2 linked regions of the Caenorhabditis elegans genome follow. The protein of the gene in region 2 interacts with the protein of the main gene of each other region in a pairwise test. Each region holds a gene or a part of one and is shown on either strand. Other genes may lie near its edges. The genes, in order: pdr-1 and rpt-2.

Evidence for each region.
Region 1: the proteins of rpt-2 (region 2) and pdr-1 interact in a two-hybrid assay, tested with the Caenorhabditis elegans proteins (one study listed by BioGRID).

What each region holds. Positions count from the first base shown.
Region 1 is NC_003281.10:13,769,684-13,774,161, reverse strand, and holds pdr-1 (E3 ubiquitin-protein ligase parkin), read right to left. Parts: upstream 2,644-4,478; 5' UTR 2,632-2,643; coding exon 2,563-2,631; intron 2,518-2,562; coding exon 2,372-2,517; intron 2,282-2,371; coding exon 1,849-2,281; intron 1,803-1,848; coding exon 1,712-1,802; intron 1,433-1,711; coding exon 1,228-1,432; intron 1,175-1,227; coding exon 1,100-1,174; intron 1,054-1,099; coding exon 912-1,053; 3' UTR 818-911; downstream 1-817. Other genes in the region: mdt-29 (Mediator of RNA polymerase II transcription subunit 29), read right to left, coding at 99-206, 645-692; cyk-4 (Rac GTPase-activating protein 1), read left to right, coding at 2,939-3,044, 3,089-3,200, 3,251-3,743, 3,794-4,165, 4,353-4,478.
Region 2 is NC_003283.11:6,015,440-6,019,776, reverse strand, and holds rpt-2 (putative 26S proteasome regulatory subunit 4), read left to right. Parts: upstream 1-2,107; 5' UTR 2,108-2,108; coding exon 2,109-2,271; intron 2,272-2,317; coding exon 2,318-2,538; intron 2,539-2,583; coding exon 2,584-3,306; intron 3,307-3,352; coding exon 3,353-3,577; 3' UTR 3,578-3,728; downstream 3,729-4,337. Other genes in the region: picc-1 (PAC-1 interacting and coiled-coil domain-containing protein 1), read right to left, coding at 747-771; aps-1 (AP complex subunit sigma), read right to left, coding at 1,027-1,318, 1,573-1,676, 1,725-1,802; Transcription factor fos-1, read right to left, coding at 4,086-4,207. UniProt on the Caenorhabditis elegans protein: The 26S proteasome is involved in the ATP-dependent degradation of ubiquitinated proteins. The regulatory (or ATPase) complex confers ATP dependency and substrate specificity to the 26S complex.

The sequences.
Region 1 (4,478 bases), on a different chromosome or scaffold from region 2:
TTTGCGGAAAAAATCATAAAATATTTTAATTTTACGTTAAAAAATTTATCAGAAAGTGCTATTTCAAATTTTCGATAAATTGGACGGTATATTACTACCTGTTGAGCCTGTTGTTGTATTTGCTGTTGACGTTGCTGCTGCATTTGTTGTTGCTGCATTTGTTGCTGCCGCATCATTTGTTGCTGCTGTTGCTGCTGCATTAACATCTGAAATGTTTTTATTTTATAATCTTTTTATTCCTAGTTTAAAATTTGGTTATATGGTTTTAAAAAAGCTCTGAAAACGTCTTAAAATGAAACTTTAAAGGATATTTGAGTGAGAAATTTTCAAATTTCAGTTAAAAAATGCGGTGAGTTTTGTTTTCATGAAAAAGTTGTTTTTTTAATTTTCATGAAAAAAATAATTTTCAGCCCACTCCAAAACTGAGATATATCCCGAAGCTCAAGAAATGTTTCCATGTTGGTGTGATTGTACATTTTCATTAATTTTTTTTGTTCCCAAAATTAAAAAAAAGACATTTTTTGACTTCAATTGTTTTAAGGATGAAGCCGTAGAAAAGTGTGAAATTTTTCCGAAAAAGGTTGTAAAATGTGCTCAAATTCACTAAAATTTACTCTCAAGTTCAAAAGCACAAAAAATCTTACATGTTGTTGCTGCGGCGTCATACTTGGTGGAGGTCCTTGTCCTGACATGTCTATGGAGATCCCTGCGAGAAATGTGTTCTTTGAAATTTGGCAAAACATTTAAAAAAAGGTATGAAATGAGCGAAATACTCAGCAACAAAAATTGAGAAAAAGATCTAAAATTTGAAGAGAAAAAATGTCAATGTAACTTCAGACACACCGTAATTGTTGTAAAAATCTACAGAATAACACGTACAATCTCTAGAAAAGATGAATTTTAGAGAGTTATTAATTAAACCAATGGTCCCATTGACACTCTTCCTTCCATTCTGTCTTGCACTTGAAACACCAATCCATTCCACACGAGGTACAGTGAATGTGAGCACATCCGCCGTTCCGTTCGGTTGCCACGTGGCATTTTGGGCATCTTCTGGAAGAATTTACAGTTTTTTGTAGTGGATAATCGCTGAGATCACCTTGTAGTCGCGTCAATTGTAGTTCGGGTGAGATCGTCTTCGCTCTGGCACACACAATTTCTTTCGAAGCACTTTCTGAACGATGATATTTATTGCGATAAAATTTCCGATTTAGAAGCTCAAAATACCTGCAAAACGAAAAAAAACAATCTGGACACTGGGATCTTCCATCGTCATCATAGGGCTCCCAGAAGAAGCTCTGCCCACACGAGACATTCGGGCAAGTCACACCCTTGTCGTCCACGGCAATCAATCGCTCGGTGGCTTTCCGTTGGTATTCGCTGTACGACGTCTGACCCATAATGTGGAAATGGTGCACATCTTGTACCACTCCTGAAGTTATTTTTCAATTAAATGTTCTGTTTAATTTCTTTAAAACTTTTTTTTTCAATTTTCTCGGCATTGAAAAACTATTGAAACATGTGAGAAAATTTTCAAAATAAATTTAAATAGAACGGGTGGGGGTTTTTTTTGCAAAAAAAAAACCATGCCAGACTTGCAAAATGGAAACATAACATATTTGTATTTTTTGGAAGATTTTTTGTTTCTATCAATTAGTTTTCAGGATCACTACTGCAGAAAATTGAATGGTTTTGATAAAATCGAACGAACTATTGCACCCTGGATAGGGGCAGAAAATGGTGAAGCCATGCGGCGGCTGATTGACAAAACCGAATCGTTCCAGTTGACTTAGCAAATAATCCTTTAAAATTAAACAATTTCAACAAAAAATTTAGATTCTTACTCACTCTGAAACAGAATTGGCATGTAATATGATTGCATCCGAGGTCGAAGATCACTTTCTCCTTCCCATCACAAACACAGCACTCGGTCATTTGCCAATTTCCGCGTACGTGAGTTAGAGCTGCGGCCGGATCGTTGCAGGCTAGACATTTGAACTTGAATTCAGCGAAAAGACCTGGAGTACAGCATTCTTCGCAGACCGCCGGTATTCTCTTGCTTTTGAGAACGTCGGACCAGTTCTGGGGTTCAGATTTGACTAGAACAGAGGTTGACGAGCATTTTTGGCAATAAACCCGCAGTTTGCCGCGCTTGACGTCGTCACAATTTTTGCACCACACGTAGAAGCTTCCGAGAATTGAAGAATCTGTTGTTATTTTTGCAGTAGTAGCACCGTTTTCGTTGTGACTATTGAACTTTGGACGGAGAAGCATGATTTGTCTGAAATAATATTATTTGAATAACAATTCCAGTTATTTATATAAATAACAATTCCAGTTATTTATATAAGTAAATATTTACTTGACCTACGTTGCAGGTGTCAGTGACAAATCCCTCATAATCGTTGATTTTGATAACTTTTTCCCACAGAAAACCACTTCCAGCTCATCGCTGGGAATTTCGGTGAGCTTTTCCACATCTTTTGTGAGATCTTCGATATTTCCAGTTATATTTATCTGAAAAAAATAATGTATATATTCAAAGTTTGAAATGTCCACTACATTAAGTGTTAGATTCCTACGTTGACCTGTTTTTCTATCTTGTATTAATATAGAGATTTCATCAGACATGCTTCATGAGAGCTGAAAATTTGACTTAGAAATTAACAAAAAAATTTCCTGCTAGCGGGCCTGCTTGCAGTTTTAAACATTAAATTCAAAAAACTAGTCGAGGCCTTGAAGCCCCATGTTTTTGTGCACACTAGTCCTCGCAGTCATGTGCGCCCTATGGCAAGCGTAGCGGGTCGCGTCGCGTGTGAGACAAACGCAGCGAGCTTCAAATTCGAACTGTTTTCCACGAAATTTGAAACGGTTTTCACGCATTTTTCTCTTATTTTCGGGCGAGTTTCTCGTTTTCTAATCATTTCCACATTTTAGAATGAAGTCCAGTACATCAAAAGAGAAGGTGTGCGGCGAAAACTCGCGTCACATTTTCAACATGATTCTAAACTCACAGCGACCGCAATTCGATATTAAGGATATAGGTTAGTTTCAATTATCATTTTCAAATTTTAATGACGTGTTTCAGGAATGTTTCATTTGATTGATGAGATTGAGCGTCTCCGCAAGCTGTGGAAAGATTCCGAGGAATCCAAAAAGCGGCTGAATGCAGATATGAGAGAGGCCGAAGAAGCACTTGCGTAAGTGAAATATTTCATGTTTACGTGTTTAGAAAACACTATTATTTCAGAAAAGCTCGCAAGAAGCTGGCAATGTTCGATATCGATGTCAAAGACACTCAGAAACATTTACGCGCGTTGATGGAAGAAAATAAGGCGTTGAAGCTCGATCTAAACGTCTACGAGACTCGTGAAAAGCAGCTGAAAGATGCGATGAAGAACGGTATATTCAATAGTCTCACCAAGGAAGACCGCGATCAGTTCAAGTTTCTTCACGAGCCACTGGTCCGGACATACTCGAAACGGGTGCAGCAGAGGCATCCACATTTGATGGAGGACACACAGGACGATGAGGACGATAGTGAGGTGGATTACGATGAAACTGGAGACAGTTTCGAGGAAGTTATTCATTTGCGCAATGGAAGAGAGGTCAGAAGAAGCTCAGCTGCTGGAAACGCAGTTGGTGGCAAGCGGAGAAGCGCGTCAGCACATGCGATTACTGCTGCTGCCAATTCGAAGAGGAGCAGAAGCCGTGTTATGACAGCTACTATAGATGAAGAGCCGGTAAAAATTATGACATGACAGTTTTTGTTGAATTGCGTTTGTTCTTTCAGAATGAGGGTGGTACACCTCCAAAAAGATGCCGTGATGATGGTTCTACACCTCATCAAGAAATGACAACTACCACCACTACCACCACCACCACTACTATTCATAACTCTCGAGCTCAGAACCAGGACCCGCCACGTGTCTCACTTCACCGCCAGCTCACCCGCAGGAGCTTGAGCTGTGGAAGTATTCCATCATGCGATCAAACACCAGGACAAACCACAAATAACATCGGCCTCGGCATGTCGTCCGCCATTCTCACCAAAAGCACACTTGATATCCGAACCCTGAAACGTGGCACGCCGGCGTGGACTAATGGAACAACTCGTGACATCGCAATGAGACCACACACGTTTATAGAGGCAGGAATCAAAGCGGTACGTGTAAAAAATGCTAACAAATTTCTTTAAAGTGAGCTCTGTAGTGATGAAAATCATGCTAATCATGAAGAGGCGCGTCCGTCTCGGACCCCATGTTGCAAACATCTATTTCTGAACAAAGAATTCCTATTTTTTCTGTTAAACATGAATTGCCACACTGTTTTAATACCTTTTTGATTTTCAGATGCGAAAATGCGACAAATGTGCTACAGCCCTGAAGCTCGCCACATCAATGAAATGCAGAGACTGTCACCAGGTTGTCCATCGTAGTTGCTGCAACAAACTTCATCTCCCGTGCATACCACGCCCC
Region 2 (4,337 bases):
TACTTGAAATCGTTCTTTCCTAAAGTTAAAAGCAACTGGGAAGCGTTATTTCGAACCAACTCTTTGGCTGATTTTCAAGACTGAAAAAAATAGCGAGGTTTGTTTATGATTTCTAGGGTCTCATGGACTGCGAATATTGAAAATGCGAATACTTATTCAAATAATGTGATGCGTACTTCTGCTTTCTGCCAAGATTTTAGATCAAAAATTAACTACGACTCAAAAACTAGGTGAAAGAACAAGTGTGTGCTGGAGCAAATTGATGGATACTTGAGAGAATGAGTGAATCCGCGCGGAAACATTTCCCGCTGTCTCCGCCTTCACTGCCCTTGTTCAATGTAAAACCAAAAACAATGCAAAGTATAGTGGATGGGAAGAGGAAGAAGTATTGGGCAGAAAACATGAAGAGGACACAAACATCTACTGTACGAAAATGATTAAACTTTGAGAAAACGGAAGTGATCGAAACAATTTTGACTAGTTTAATCATACTTATCGAAATTTCAGATAAATGATATTTTGAAATTCGACACCAACAAGAAGGTGAACATTGTGCTTTGTAATCTAACAAATGACAATTCCGGCAGAGGTGCCAATCATTCCTACATTCATTCCGTTCGAACTGACATGTTACACTGCCAACGTTCGCATATTACCCCCCGTTGAATTATCCTTGAATCCACCTTTCCCCTGTTCGTGTTTTACACTCATGTGCGGGAAACTCGGCAAAATTCACATTAGCTCACCTCGTCTCGGAGTTGTGATAATCATCCGCTTCGAAACCTGAGAAAGTTCAAAACTTTAAAGAAAAAATTGAAAAAAGTGTAGAAATAATGCAAGTCATGCATTGAAGTTTCCTAACAGAAAGAATACATAATGGAAGATTGAAAAATGAATGTTTTCTTCTCTTATTCACATGAATATTATCACAACCAGACACATAGCCAGGATAAATAAAGTAAGGTGGAAGTATTTGGTATTTACGGAAGCTTTCAAAGTCAATAAATTATGTTACTATTATCTTCATTATCCCAAACCGTGATCCTCGAAGAATCCTTGTGGAGTTTCTTCTTCTTGAATGAGATCTTGGGCAGCAATCGCCTTCAAAACTTGTTTTTTACTGGTTTCCTGGATTTCACCAGCCAGTAAAAATTCGTCGAGTATGAAGTAAGCTTTTTCGAAGTTGAAGATGATATCCAGCTCACAAACACTTCCAAAATATTTGTCGAGGAGTTCTACGTAACGATGAATGACTTCCAAAGTGATGAGCTCGTTGTCGTTTTGTTCGATGGCGCAGCAGAAATACAGAGACGCGTATCTGAAATTGTTGAGATTAAAAATTGAACGAATTGTTAAGTTTTTGTTTCATTTATCACAAAAATGTCTATTAAACAACTAAATTTGACGCCAAAATATTTTTCATGAATAAAAAACGTAATAACTTCGGATTTAGGTGTGTAACTATAATTTTCAAGAAATTTTGATTATAAACTTGTAAGTTATTTTCAGAAGGAACAATTTTAAGGCATGACAGGAAATGGGAGTTGTTACTTTTGAATATAAAATACGAACCGTTTGTAGACAACTTTCAAATCCTTGTATTCGAGGAACGCACACATTTTCGGTTTTCTCGCCAGAATTTGAGTGATGAGTTCGCGGCAAATTTTCTTCTTTTGCTGAAAATTGAGTGTGAAATTACACATATGAATAGGAAATACACTTACCTTGTCGGGGTAAGCAGTGTACCATTTCTGCAGCCGCAGTTTGCCCTGGCGACTGAAGAGAAGCATGTATTGCATCATGTTTACTGAAAACAAGAGTATGAACAATCGTTTGCAAACTTTAAAACGCTGAAAATACTTAAAAATCAATTGAAAAATTAGATTTTCTGAATAAAACAGACATGTGGCTTCGTCAATAAAAACAACGAAGCTCCGAAAATACGAAACCGCGCGTTGTTTAGTTCTCACCAGAGCGCGCTTGCATTGTCATCATCAACGCTGTATTTTTTTAAATCATTCTTCGTTCTACTTATTTTATATCTTTCAATTGTTTTCTTTTTCAAACGTGGACTTATTATTTTTCATATAAAATCATTATTTTCTAGAATGGGGCAACAACAGTCAGGTTTCGGTGGAAGAGGAAATGACCGCGGTGCCGGAGATGGAGAGAAGAAGGAAAAGAAGAAATATGAGGCACCGATTCCATCTAGGATTGGAAAGAAGAAGAAGGGGTCTAAGGGACCTGACGCCGCTAGCAAACTTCCAGCTGGTAAGTTTCAATCTAGTGTGTATTTTAACTGATGATTCGGTTTTAGTCACACCACATGCCAGATGCCGTCTGAAGTTGCTGAAGAGCGAAAGAATCAAGGATTATTTGTTGATGGAGCAAGAATTCATTCAAAACCAGGAGCGTTTGAAGCCACAAGAGGAGAGACAAGAAGAAGAGCGCGCCAAGGTGGACGAGCTCCGTGGAACACCAATGGCAGTCGGATCACTTGAGGAAATTATCGATGATCAGCACGCCATTGTTTCAACTGTAAGAATCAATATATCGATAATATTTTCTTATTTCAATATTTAGAACGTCGGAAGTGAGCATTACGTCAACATCATGTCATTCGTCGACAAGGAACAACTCGAGCCGGGATGTTCAGTCCTTCTCAACCACAAGAATCACGCCGTCATCGGAGTTCTCTCCGATGATACAGATCCTATGGTGTCTGTCATGAAGCTCGAAAAAGCACCACAAGAAACGTATGCCGATGTTGGTGGTCTTGATCAGCAAATTCAAGAAATTAAAGAAGCAGTTGAGCTTCCACTGACTCATCCTGAATACTACGAAGAGATGGGAATCCGGCCTCCAAAGGGAGTTATTCTATACGGTTGTCCTGGTACTGGAAAAACGCTACTTGCCAAGGCTGTTGCTAATCAGACGTCAGCTACTTTCCTTCGTATTGTTGGTTCGGAACTTATTCAGAAATACCTCGGAGATGGTCCAAAGATGGTCCGTGAGCTCTTCCGCGTTGCTGAGGAGAATGCACCATCAATTGTGTTCATTGATGAAATTGATGCTGTTGGAACAAAACGTTACGATTCGAACTCTGGTGGAGAACGTGAAATTCAGCGGACTATGCTTGAACTTCTCAATCAACTTGATGGATTCGATTCCCGTGGAGATGTTAAAGTTTTGATGGCCACTAACCGCATCGAATCTCTCGACCCTGCTCTCATTCGTCCAGGTCGTATTGATCGTAAGATTGAATTCCCCCTGCCAGATGAAAAAACGAAGCGCCGTATCTTCCAGGTTGGAACAATTTTTTCTAAACATTATATGAAGTTTTTATTTTCAGATCCATACATCTCGAATGACACTCGGCAAAGAAGTTAACCTCGAAGAGTTCATCACAGCAAAGGACGAGTTGAGTGGAGCTGATATCAAGGCTATGTGCACAGAAGCTGGTCTCTTAGCTCTTCGCGAGCGTCGTATGCGTGTCACGATGGAAGATTTCCAGAAGTCCAAAGAAAATGTGCTCTACCGTAAGAAGGAAGGAGCTCCAGAAGAACTCTATTTGTAAATGTGCCCCGTTTTATTTATTTTTTTTGTATTTTCTCTTTCCCAATTTATTTTATTCCCTTTTTGAACGTCCCGTTGCACAAAAACCGATTTAATGTAATTTTAAATCTGGATTGATTGAGGTAAATGATTCATGATGAAAAATATTCGTTTATGTGACATTGGGATTGATGGTTGGTAAGGAAAGTTCATGAATTTAATGAAACTGAAGAAGAAAAAAATGGAGAAAATCGACTTGAAGATTTACCAGTGAAGAAGTTGATGGTTTCGAAGAATAAGAAAATGATGTTACAGTTGAATGTATTTCTTATCACAATAATTGGAAACGGAAAGTTGGGGGAATTTCAGTAGCTAAAAGTGAAACTATAATGAGAAAAGAGAGAACTGGCTGAATTTAAAGATATGGAAATTGGATAGAAAATCGGGAAATTGTATGAAATTTTGTAATAATGAGAGCTGGACGGGGAAAATTACAAATGCACGCTACAGAAAATGATTTGAATCGGAATCTAGAGTGGTCGGAGATCAGCATCCGGATGTGGTTGAATCGGGGTTGGAGTTGAAACGAAGTTCATTGTTGGCTGACCAGAAGGTGTCAGACCAGTGTTGGAGGAAAGCAAGTCGAATGGGCCTGGAATGAAAATCGTTAATTATATTTTGAGAAATAAAAATAACACTTTTTAGCCCGGGATGAAACTGGAAAAATTTAAGAAAATTTTCGTATATTGTAGAAATATCGGCATTTGAATTAAAATTATGCA